Linked DNA regions of Drosophila melanogaster. The protein of the gene in region 2 interacts with the protein of the main gene of each other region in a pairwise test. Each region holds a gene or a part of one and is shown on either strand. Other genes may lie near its edges.

Region 1 (5,209 bases), on a different chromosome or scaffold from region 2:
CACCCACACAATTGGTTTTGTTTACTTCTCAATGAGACTCTTAAATTATATATATACAATCTCGCAGCGACGAGAAAGATTCGGTAGTTCATGTATGTAAGTGTAGTTTGCATACACAGTTTGTAATTGTATCATTGAAGATTTATGTTTAAGCTGAAACGTTTTTAAAATAATTTGTCTAGTTAAGGAGAACGCGTTTTTAGTTCAAACCACAATTCACATAAGGCAATACCGCGAAACCACATGCCCAGACTAATGTTCACTCTCTAATTAGTTGTTATCAGTCTCCCTTTTCCCCCCAATGGCCTTTTCATGTTTGGGTAGGCTTAAGCAAAAGCGATAATGTTATGGGTAATTGTCTCTTAATAATATAATATACCAAAACTGTACACAACCGCAGTGAAATGCAATTATTTTTAGAATGCCACGAGCAGTTTGAACTGCAGACAAGAGCGAACATATGAAATATGTTTAATTTGCTAACACCCTTTGACAAAGCGATTCTTTTAGATTCTCAAAACCCAAATTTTAAGTTGACAAGGGAGTGCAGATAGTTGCGAAATAATCAACCTACCTAATTAGTAATAACAATTAAAACACGATATACATTTTCAGAATTTGTATTTATATTATTGAACCCTCTTCAAGTGAATACAACAGCATGCAAATACAAATTAGTAGTCAAGTATAAGGCGTTAACAATTAAGTGTCGAGCATGTAGTTGTGTAATGAAACGAAATAATTGCATGGATGGAAAGGAAATTGCAAACAAGTGAGACGAAATCGAACCGAGTGACAAGTTAATAAAGAAGTAATTTGCATATTGTAAAATATGATAAACAGAGAATTTAATCTTTTCCTCCCTTCTGCTTGCACCCAACCCAAGCAATAAGTCCAATAATCCATGACATCGCATATGGTTTATGTTTACTTTCATTGGGATCGCTGGCTAATAAACATTTACAACTAAATGGAAATATACAAAAGGCGGAAGCTAACCTAAAATACAGGGACGTGGACGTACATATACAGAAGCTGAACGGAACGTAACTTAAACTTAAGCTAATTCTCCGAGGATTTGGTCGGCTCAGGCGAATCCCTCGCCCAGCACAGCTGACGTCGTTGAGGGCGGTCCCAAAGGCGCCTGCTGCTGGGCAGCCAGGTTAAAGTCGTAGTTCATTTGCTGCTCCAACGGAGGAGACGCAAAGGCTCCCGCGGACAAATTCATTAGTTCGGGTTGTGGCTGAGCGGGCTTGGTTTGATCCTGCATCTCTTGGCGCATTTGTTGTGGCGATTTCACATAACTAATTGGAATGATGCCGGAGGTCTGTCCGTTGGTGGTGGCTAGAGCCCAGCCGGTGTTCAGCAGATTGAGCGTCTGCTGGATGTCGCGGGGAGCCACATGTAGCATTTGGCCGGCGCGCAGCGAAAGCTCGCTCGGGCTGCGAGCCACGAATTCGTAAACGGCCTGAGTCTGAATCGGCGCAGTCCACTTGGCCGGATTACGGGCTGGTTGGGATGAGAGCACAAGCGTTATTCGCAGTCTTATCTGAACAGGCCTTATCGGCCAGATTATAGCACATGAACGGAGCAAAGTGCTCCCGATTAGATAAACTGGGCTGTGCAATGTGCAGGCATGTCTTACCTTCCTCCTGGGCGGTGTTCGTCACGGTTCCCAGCAGCTTCATGATCAAGTAGGGAGCAGTAAAGATGAAGCTGATAAAGGCCAGCACCGGCCAGGGTGAGTTGCCCTTTCGCGGCACATTAGGTGCTCCTCTCGCCTGGCCGTTGTTTTCGTTCAGTGCCTCGGCAAAGGCCTTCTTAAAGGCTGCCGATGAAGGGTCCAGGTTCGATAGGCGCAGCCAATAGAGAATCCTTTAACGAAATATATATAGTTATAACGGTTTCCACACTTTTGCACCGCACTCACTTTCTGTACATCCAGTTTAGACCGCGGAATATGGCAAACGTGGTCCAAAACTGGGCAAACACACTTCGCAGCCGTACAAAGTTCGTGGCCACGCCGAGAATGGCCCGAAACGAGCTGGTCAGCGCGAAGAATGTGGAGTCCAGCATAGAGGCGATGTTGCCGATGGCCGACACCAGAGATTCGATGCTCTGAAAGGCCGGGCGCGAGCTGGACTCTGCCATATAAATGAACCGCTGCTCCGCATCGTTTTCACCCATTGCTCCAAATCTGTTGTACCCACCGCCGAAGCCTCCACCATAGCCTCCGCCATAGCCACCTCCATACCCGTATCCACTTCCAAATCCACTTCCAAGTCCACTTCCAAATCCACCCAGTCCACCATATCCAAAGGCGCCACTGTTGAAACCACCATAACCCCCGAGTCCGTAGTTGTTTCCGCCGTACCCGCTGCCGAAACCACCGTACTGTTGTGTCTGCTGGAATGGGGATTGCGGCAGAGGAGGGGGCTGCGCCGGTCCGGGCAGAGCCCTAACATTGCCATACGGAGTACGCAGCACCGCTTCCGGCGGATATCCTCCGCCGCTTGAAACGCCCACTCCGATGCTGCTCGAGGGCGGCAGTAGCGGGGCATCGCTGATCACCGCACTGCGTAGGTTATTGTTGTCGACCATGGTGACAAAATCCGACTTCGACTTCGGACAAAAGGAAAAGTGCTGTGAACTTTACCCCACGGCACGGTAGTTGCTTTTGTACGATCGGCTCGATAGTCGCTTTTTCGCACTGATTTGGACGGACGGTAAGTGACCGCTTCGTGCGGAATTGCTCGTTGTTATGGTCTCGGAACTCCAGGAGAGTCTTATCAACGAACTTTGACGAAATTTTTGTTTTAACAATTAATCAATTTTAGCAGTTGTACCGTTTTATCTATTTCTAGCTAGATTTAGCGAGATTTCCAACCGGTGATGGCACTTGAACAGAGTTACCAGATCTGGGCTTTATATCTCTGGCTAGATCAACTGTAAATAGCTAAAGCTTGTAAACTACTTAAGCTCCTTCAAAAGTTTTGCTTTATGCAGTTGTTTTTATAACACAAATTGTTTTGATAATTATACTTGCGCCATAGTAACAAAGTAACATTAAATTCAATCAAAATTTATGTTTTCTTTTTTAAGCAAACTGTCTCTTGACGTTCGTATTCTGCATACTATTTGAAGTTTACAAATATATAACAATAAAGAATAAAACATAGAAAATAGACTAATAATTGTTATTTTAATCCATTCGCGTCGGATAACAACTCTGTCACCACCTGACCAACTCGCAAGCAAACAACAGCTGTTGAACCAGCGAGAGCCGAACACAATGAGTTTTGATGCCGATTGTGATGAGTTTATTAAAAACAAACTATTCCGTAGTAAAGGGAAATGTGGTAAGTTGACCCGCTCACTTGGGTGCTCCGAATTTGCAGTGCAAATTTACCTCACCCTCAGATATATATGCCCGGCAATCGGATGTCTGCGTCGCGGTGAAGCAAAAGTCCACATTCCGAGCCACTGCACCCACTTTGCCCATGGCGGAGGGCAACAACAACAATGTGATTAGCATGCGGTATGACATTTGGTTCCACATATCCATGCACATTGATCCGGAGGACGTACAGACCTTCGCTCTAATATGTAAACAAACCTCCAGACTGGTGGCTTCTCGCGCCTTTTGGCGCAATCTTTACCGGCGTCACTGCACCGGAGCCACCTCTGGTTGGAATCTGAATCTGCCCGCCGAGCTGCAGCTGGAGTCGATACGCAATTGTAAGACCCGGGCGCTTAAATCCCTTGTCATCGCGGCGCTCTTTCACTGCCACCGACCGCTGAAGGTTCGCCTGGAGCTAGGCTATAACCTGGACTGGATGTTGCAGCGCATCTTTGTTTCCTGTTTTCAGACGCATTACCAGTGTCTATGGATCATGTGCTACAAGTTTTGGAACCGACAGTCCCATGAGCAGGACGAAACGGAGACGCACACCGGCGAAGTCGTAAATGACTGGGAATCCCTGGCGGATGATGATGCGACAAAGCTAGCTCCAACTTTTTGTAATCCCCACGAGGGTGTGGTTCTGCTTGTTGTTATCTGCCGCCACTTCGTGCCAACTTCCAACCATCTAGCCTATGGCCCTCAGCAGCAACGTTACCGTCTGCGAGCCACCCGGGAACTCCTCTGCACGGATATGCGGGCCAAGAACCTAGAGCTGGACTTCGCCGAGGATGGCTGCCGAAATGTGTCGGTAACCGTTAAGCACGATCGCATCGAAAAGTACAAAGTATTGCCCTGGTGGCATCCGGACTTCCAGAGATTCGTTAAATAAAACTCACGCAACGCAACTATTGTCAGTTTTCTTATCTGCATTATTTCTGTGTTCGCACCTTATCACAAGTGCTACCGCCCATAACAAGTGTACAACATTGTGAACATTCGTCTAGCATTGATCGTTTTTATTCAAACTGTCACTTCTGGAGGGAAAAATCACATTTGCATGCCTAAGAATAAAGCAATCAGGTGCATCGTCGTGGTAAAAAGCGATTAGGTTAGGGACTACAACTGGAAGAGGACTGTTCGTTCATACAATATATATATATATATACACACTTTTAACTTAATCATAACTCTAGGTGCCACGAATACAAATCATGCAATGAGGTGGCGTGTTAAATTCCGTTTCTCGGTGTTCGGTGTCTTTTCTTTGTTGTTTAGAATATGTGAAAGCTTTCCTGCGGATTAACCTACACCTTGCCCAGGAGATCGTGGCCATAGGGCTTCTTGCGGTATCCCTTGAAGGCGAACAATTTAAATGCCAACACCATCATCACAATGCAGAAGGCGTACAGCAGCATGCCCATCCGCATATCCATGTCGGTGAAGACACTTGAGATCTGTCGCTTCTGCCGCATTTTGTCCGCCGTGGGATGCAGCAGCTCCTCCCGCTGCACACCGTACCGGCTAACGAACTGCGGATTGTGTATGTTCTTGAGGAAGCCCAGCACGGCGTCCTTGTTCCATTCGATCTCCAAGTTCTCCGACTTGGAGACGGGCGTGCGGTAGCATTCGTTGCAGCTTTCCGGCGCTGGGAATTGCTTCTTGGGGAACTCTGGATCCTCGGTGGCATCGCCTGCCAGGCGCTGGTTCACCTCGTTGTGCGCAGCCCAAAGCCACAGAACAGCTTCCTCTTTGTTCGGCACACTCCAGATTTTTCGCCTCGATGCCATTGCCTGTGAAACGCAAACA
Region 2 (3,751 bases):
CTACAGGTCATCGATGGACAGGAGAGGGTTAAACGAATCTGACAAAGGCTGTGTACGTTAGCTTCAAATGGGATAGGATTACTTGAGTGTATCATGTTATGTGTGCAAAAGTTTAAAAATGTATATGCACGCACATATGGTAAATGTTTGGATTCGATTGGGAGCACCAAAGAACCAGGCACAGTTTTCCAAACAATAGAAACTACTCGTAGTCGTGTGCCAACTATCGGATACCTTATAGTCTGTATTAAAGTTTGTTATTGACTTATTTACTCTACGAGTACTGATGGAAATGAGTATAAATATGAAAATATTGTTTGTAAACTGTTAAAATGTTTTATTTCGTTTTGTGGGGCGGTAGGTCGCATTACGTATACGACGCGCAGACCACAGAGTAATACGTTTCTAAAGCAAGTTTGCAGTTGCACTGTTTCATTGTTGACCTATCAATTGGGCTCTTCTTCCGGTCGTAGCATACAGTCAGTGTGAACTCGTTTCTTCCAAAGCAATTCCGAGTCGGATAAGACACAGCTACTGCAGCCCATCAAGATCTGCTTCCATGCTCCTTGCAGCATTGTCCACCCACCCTTTAAGACCTCCTATATATTCACATCTGTATCGCAATCGCGAGAAAGACAACTTTTAGTGCGACATTCGCTGGAAACTTTCAGCAGAGCGGCAAACGACACCTAAACCGACTAATGGGCAAAGTCACCTCCTTTGGCAGTAGTGGCTTCGGGGGTTTACTTCACCCATTGTGAGCCATTTGTTTGCTGGAATTGCATTCGTGGCTGCGAAATAACATTTTCCGTTTCCGTTCTTGTTGCGACTGCGTGCCACATTTGTAAAACTTGTGTGTTTAAGTCTGAAGTGTCTGAAGGAAAGTGGACCCCCTCCCCAACCCCCCTTGGCACACCACCAGCAATTAATGCCAAATGTTTTCTGCTTTAGGCCGCCGCTTCATTTCCTTCCAATTAAGTCGCCAATTGGCAGGCCAGAACGCCCCTGATTAAACAGGTGTACGGATGAGGACGGCCAAATCCGGTAAAACCTTCGCAATCTTTCACGCACGCAAGTCGAACCGAACTTTCTGCCTTTTCAGCTTTATGTTTAATCCAATGGTTTGGCCAAGTTTCGTCGCAGCGCCGAACACCAGCCAGCCATCGCATGCAAGTAAATTGTCCATATAGTCAAGTCAGGAAAATGTGTAAAATGTATTTATTGTGTTCGACTTTTAGCGGAATATGCGGGATCACATGTTTAATGTCAATGCCGAAATCCCAAACAATTTCCGCCTAGAACTGGTCGGGAATATTTCGAACTGAACCAGATGACCCGGCGTCTTGGAAAGATCTGCCAAAAATTCGATCGTAGCGCTCCAAGGCTTCGTAGGAGACCCGTGCTGACCGCAATGAGGGACGAAGGTAGCCCGTTGATGGAGATCCAGCTGAAGGAGGAGGAACTGGAAACGAATCGTGTCGCTGTGGCATAGAAAGATCGTTCCACTTGCGGGTCTGCTCCTGTTGGAGCTGCAGATCGGGCGCCTCATCGTCCAGGTCAGCGATATTCCGCCGATGGGTGGTGCTGGTGGAATCCGTGTCGGAATTTCCCTGGGCCCTGATACAGGCAAACAAGTCGCTTAAACTAGAGCACATATTTGTTGCTTCTGGGCGAGTTTGTCGGTGGTTCCACCCTATTTATAATCGTGCAGCTATGCAGCTGTTTTTGGCAAAGGGAATGGCTCAGCCAATTAGTACACTAAGTAGACTTAGTCATTACCAAGCGACCAAGCGAACAAATAAAAACACTTCCTAACAATGTTGGAAATTTTAGACGGTACTTGTACTTCACATTTGATTGGATATGCAGTTAGATTCTCCTTTGAGTAGAGGAGTACGAGTATACTCCTCAAACAGCTTAGCAAAGGTTAACTCAGACTGAAGAGATGTATGAAAGCTTACCATCAAGTCAAGCTGACGTTTCCTGCCACTTCCGCTCCGCCATTCATCATCGGTAGAGGAGGCTTCTTCATATTTCGCACAGCAATTTGACGTCCATCAATCAATGGGCTCCACACCCCCGTCCGCCCCCTTAACTGAGTGGCCACTTGAATGGCATAAAAAGCGGAAATTAATGCACTTAAGACATTCAAAATAGACGGCAGTCGATCTCTTGCGCGCTTCAAGTGGACCCCTTAGCGACGTTTAACCATCTTCCTCTACGCCCTTCCTCCCTTTGGACTCTTGGGTTCCGTAGGCCACTTTGGTGATTAATTGGACGGGAATTCCTCGAGGGCTATTTCCGCGGCCGGCTTTTCACCTTTCTTAAATGGCAATCCATTGAGTTCAGAACGCGCGAAGCAAGCGACCAAGGGCGAAATTAGCCCCGTTTTCCAAAATTATCGTAATACCAGGTGCAAAGAAGCAGATCCCAGCGACATGAATTGTATTAGCTAGAGAGCATTATTACTATTAGCTGCAAATTGTGTGTCATTTCCCATGATTGATTCATTGATGGATAGACCATCCTTTGGGTGGCTGGGTAGATGATTCCCAATGAAAAACCTCCCATGCTGAAAAACCCCAAAAGCATAAGGACCGCAAAATAACCATTTTTTAAGAGCTCAAACGGAATTCACCACACCGGAAAATACTGGGAACTTCTTCTTATCAGGGTTTGTGTCTGCACTAAGTTGAATAATTTGTTAGAGGGTGTATCAGATAAATGTTTACATCGGGTTGTAGAATCGAATTTGAAATTACACTGTAAATTTTTTTACAGATCCATTGAAAACTAAGAGGCTTAAGAATAATTTTTTGGAAGTATAACCAATTCCCAACTAATAAAGTTAATTAAGTATTCTGTGGCTTATGAAATAAAACCATGAAGAAACGTTGTGGTCAAATGCCCTGACTATCAGATACCTTTTACTTGGGCAATTTTCAGAATTAACACGCCTTCAGATATAGATGGCGCCACGTAATATTTTACATACAGATCTACAAAAGTATTTATATTTAATTAAGTATATTTTTTCAAACCTTTTACAATATTAGTTAGATTTTAATAGTTGTCGGAAGAAAAATTTAGATATATATAAAGGCAGGGGCAGGGGCACCCACCTGGTAAGAACTCCTGAAAATCTGACGAAACGATGTATAAATTACAAATATAAAAATGTAATTATATATAACAAACTAAAGCTGCAGAATAAGACATCAATATTATCCCACAATTGTTAATGCTTAGTCATGTTTAGATCCTGTTATTAAGGATATATGCGTGTTTTAACCAAGTCTCTTTCTTTCTACTTGCAGCTAACGGAGCTCGAACAGCGAGTCATTGAAGCGGAAGAACGCGCCGAGGAAGCCGAAGATAAGGTAAGCCATTAAATGACTCCCATCCCCCGCTTCTAATCCTTATCGCTTGGGTGGCAAAATTAAAACGATGGTTAGGGGATCCAGTCTATCCTGCACAGAGCCCCCACATTAGAGGACAGCTTAAAGGTGGAGGGTCCCCAGATTTTCATGACAATGATGTTCTATACAGGGATGGAGAAACTGTAGCTAAGGGGGGGTGTTCGTCGAGCAGGGGCCACTCACAGCTGTGACTAACAACAAAACTGGCCCGCCAACCTAAAATTTGTAACCAACTCAAGCGGCAGACACACACTTCGCGAAATTAATTCAAATTTTAAACTTACATAGCACTGTATGTGCATCCACTCCAAAATTCTAAAATCGGAAATCTA

The links. Proteins that work in one complex are often made in the same cells at the same time.
Region 1: the proteins of CG14635 (region 2) and Pex13 interact in a two-hybrid assay, tested with the Drosophila melanogaster proteins (one large-scale study listed by BioGRID).

Annotation. Positions count from the first base shown.
Region 1 is NT_033778.4:13,227,358-13,232,566, forward strand, and holds Pex13 (peroxin 13), read right to left. Parts: upstream 2,878-5,209; 5' UTR 2,602-2,877; coding exon 1,931-2,601; intron 1,876-1,930; coding exon 1,646-1,875; intron 1,510-1,645; coding exon 1,088-1,509; 3' UTR 919-1,087; downstream 1-918. Other genes in the region: fsd (fates-shifted), read left to right, coding at 3,293-3,359, 3,421-4,292; Qsox1 (quiescin sulfhydryl oxidase 1), read right to left, coding at 4,708-5,193.
Region 2 is NC_004354.4:842,741-846,491, reverse strand, and holds CG14635 (uncharacterized protein), read right to left. Parts: upstream 1,670-3,751; 5' UTR 1,656-1,669; coding exon 1,296-1,655; 3' UTR 1,195-1,295; downstream 1-1,194. Other genes in the region: CG43867 (uncharacterized protein), read left to right, coding at 3,318-3,380.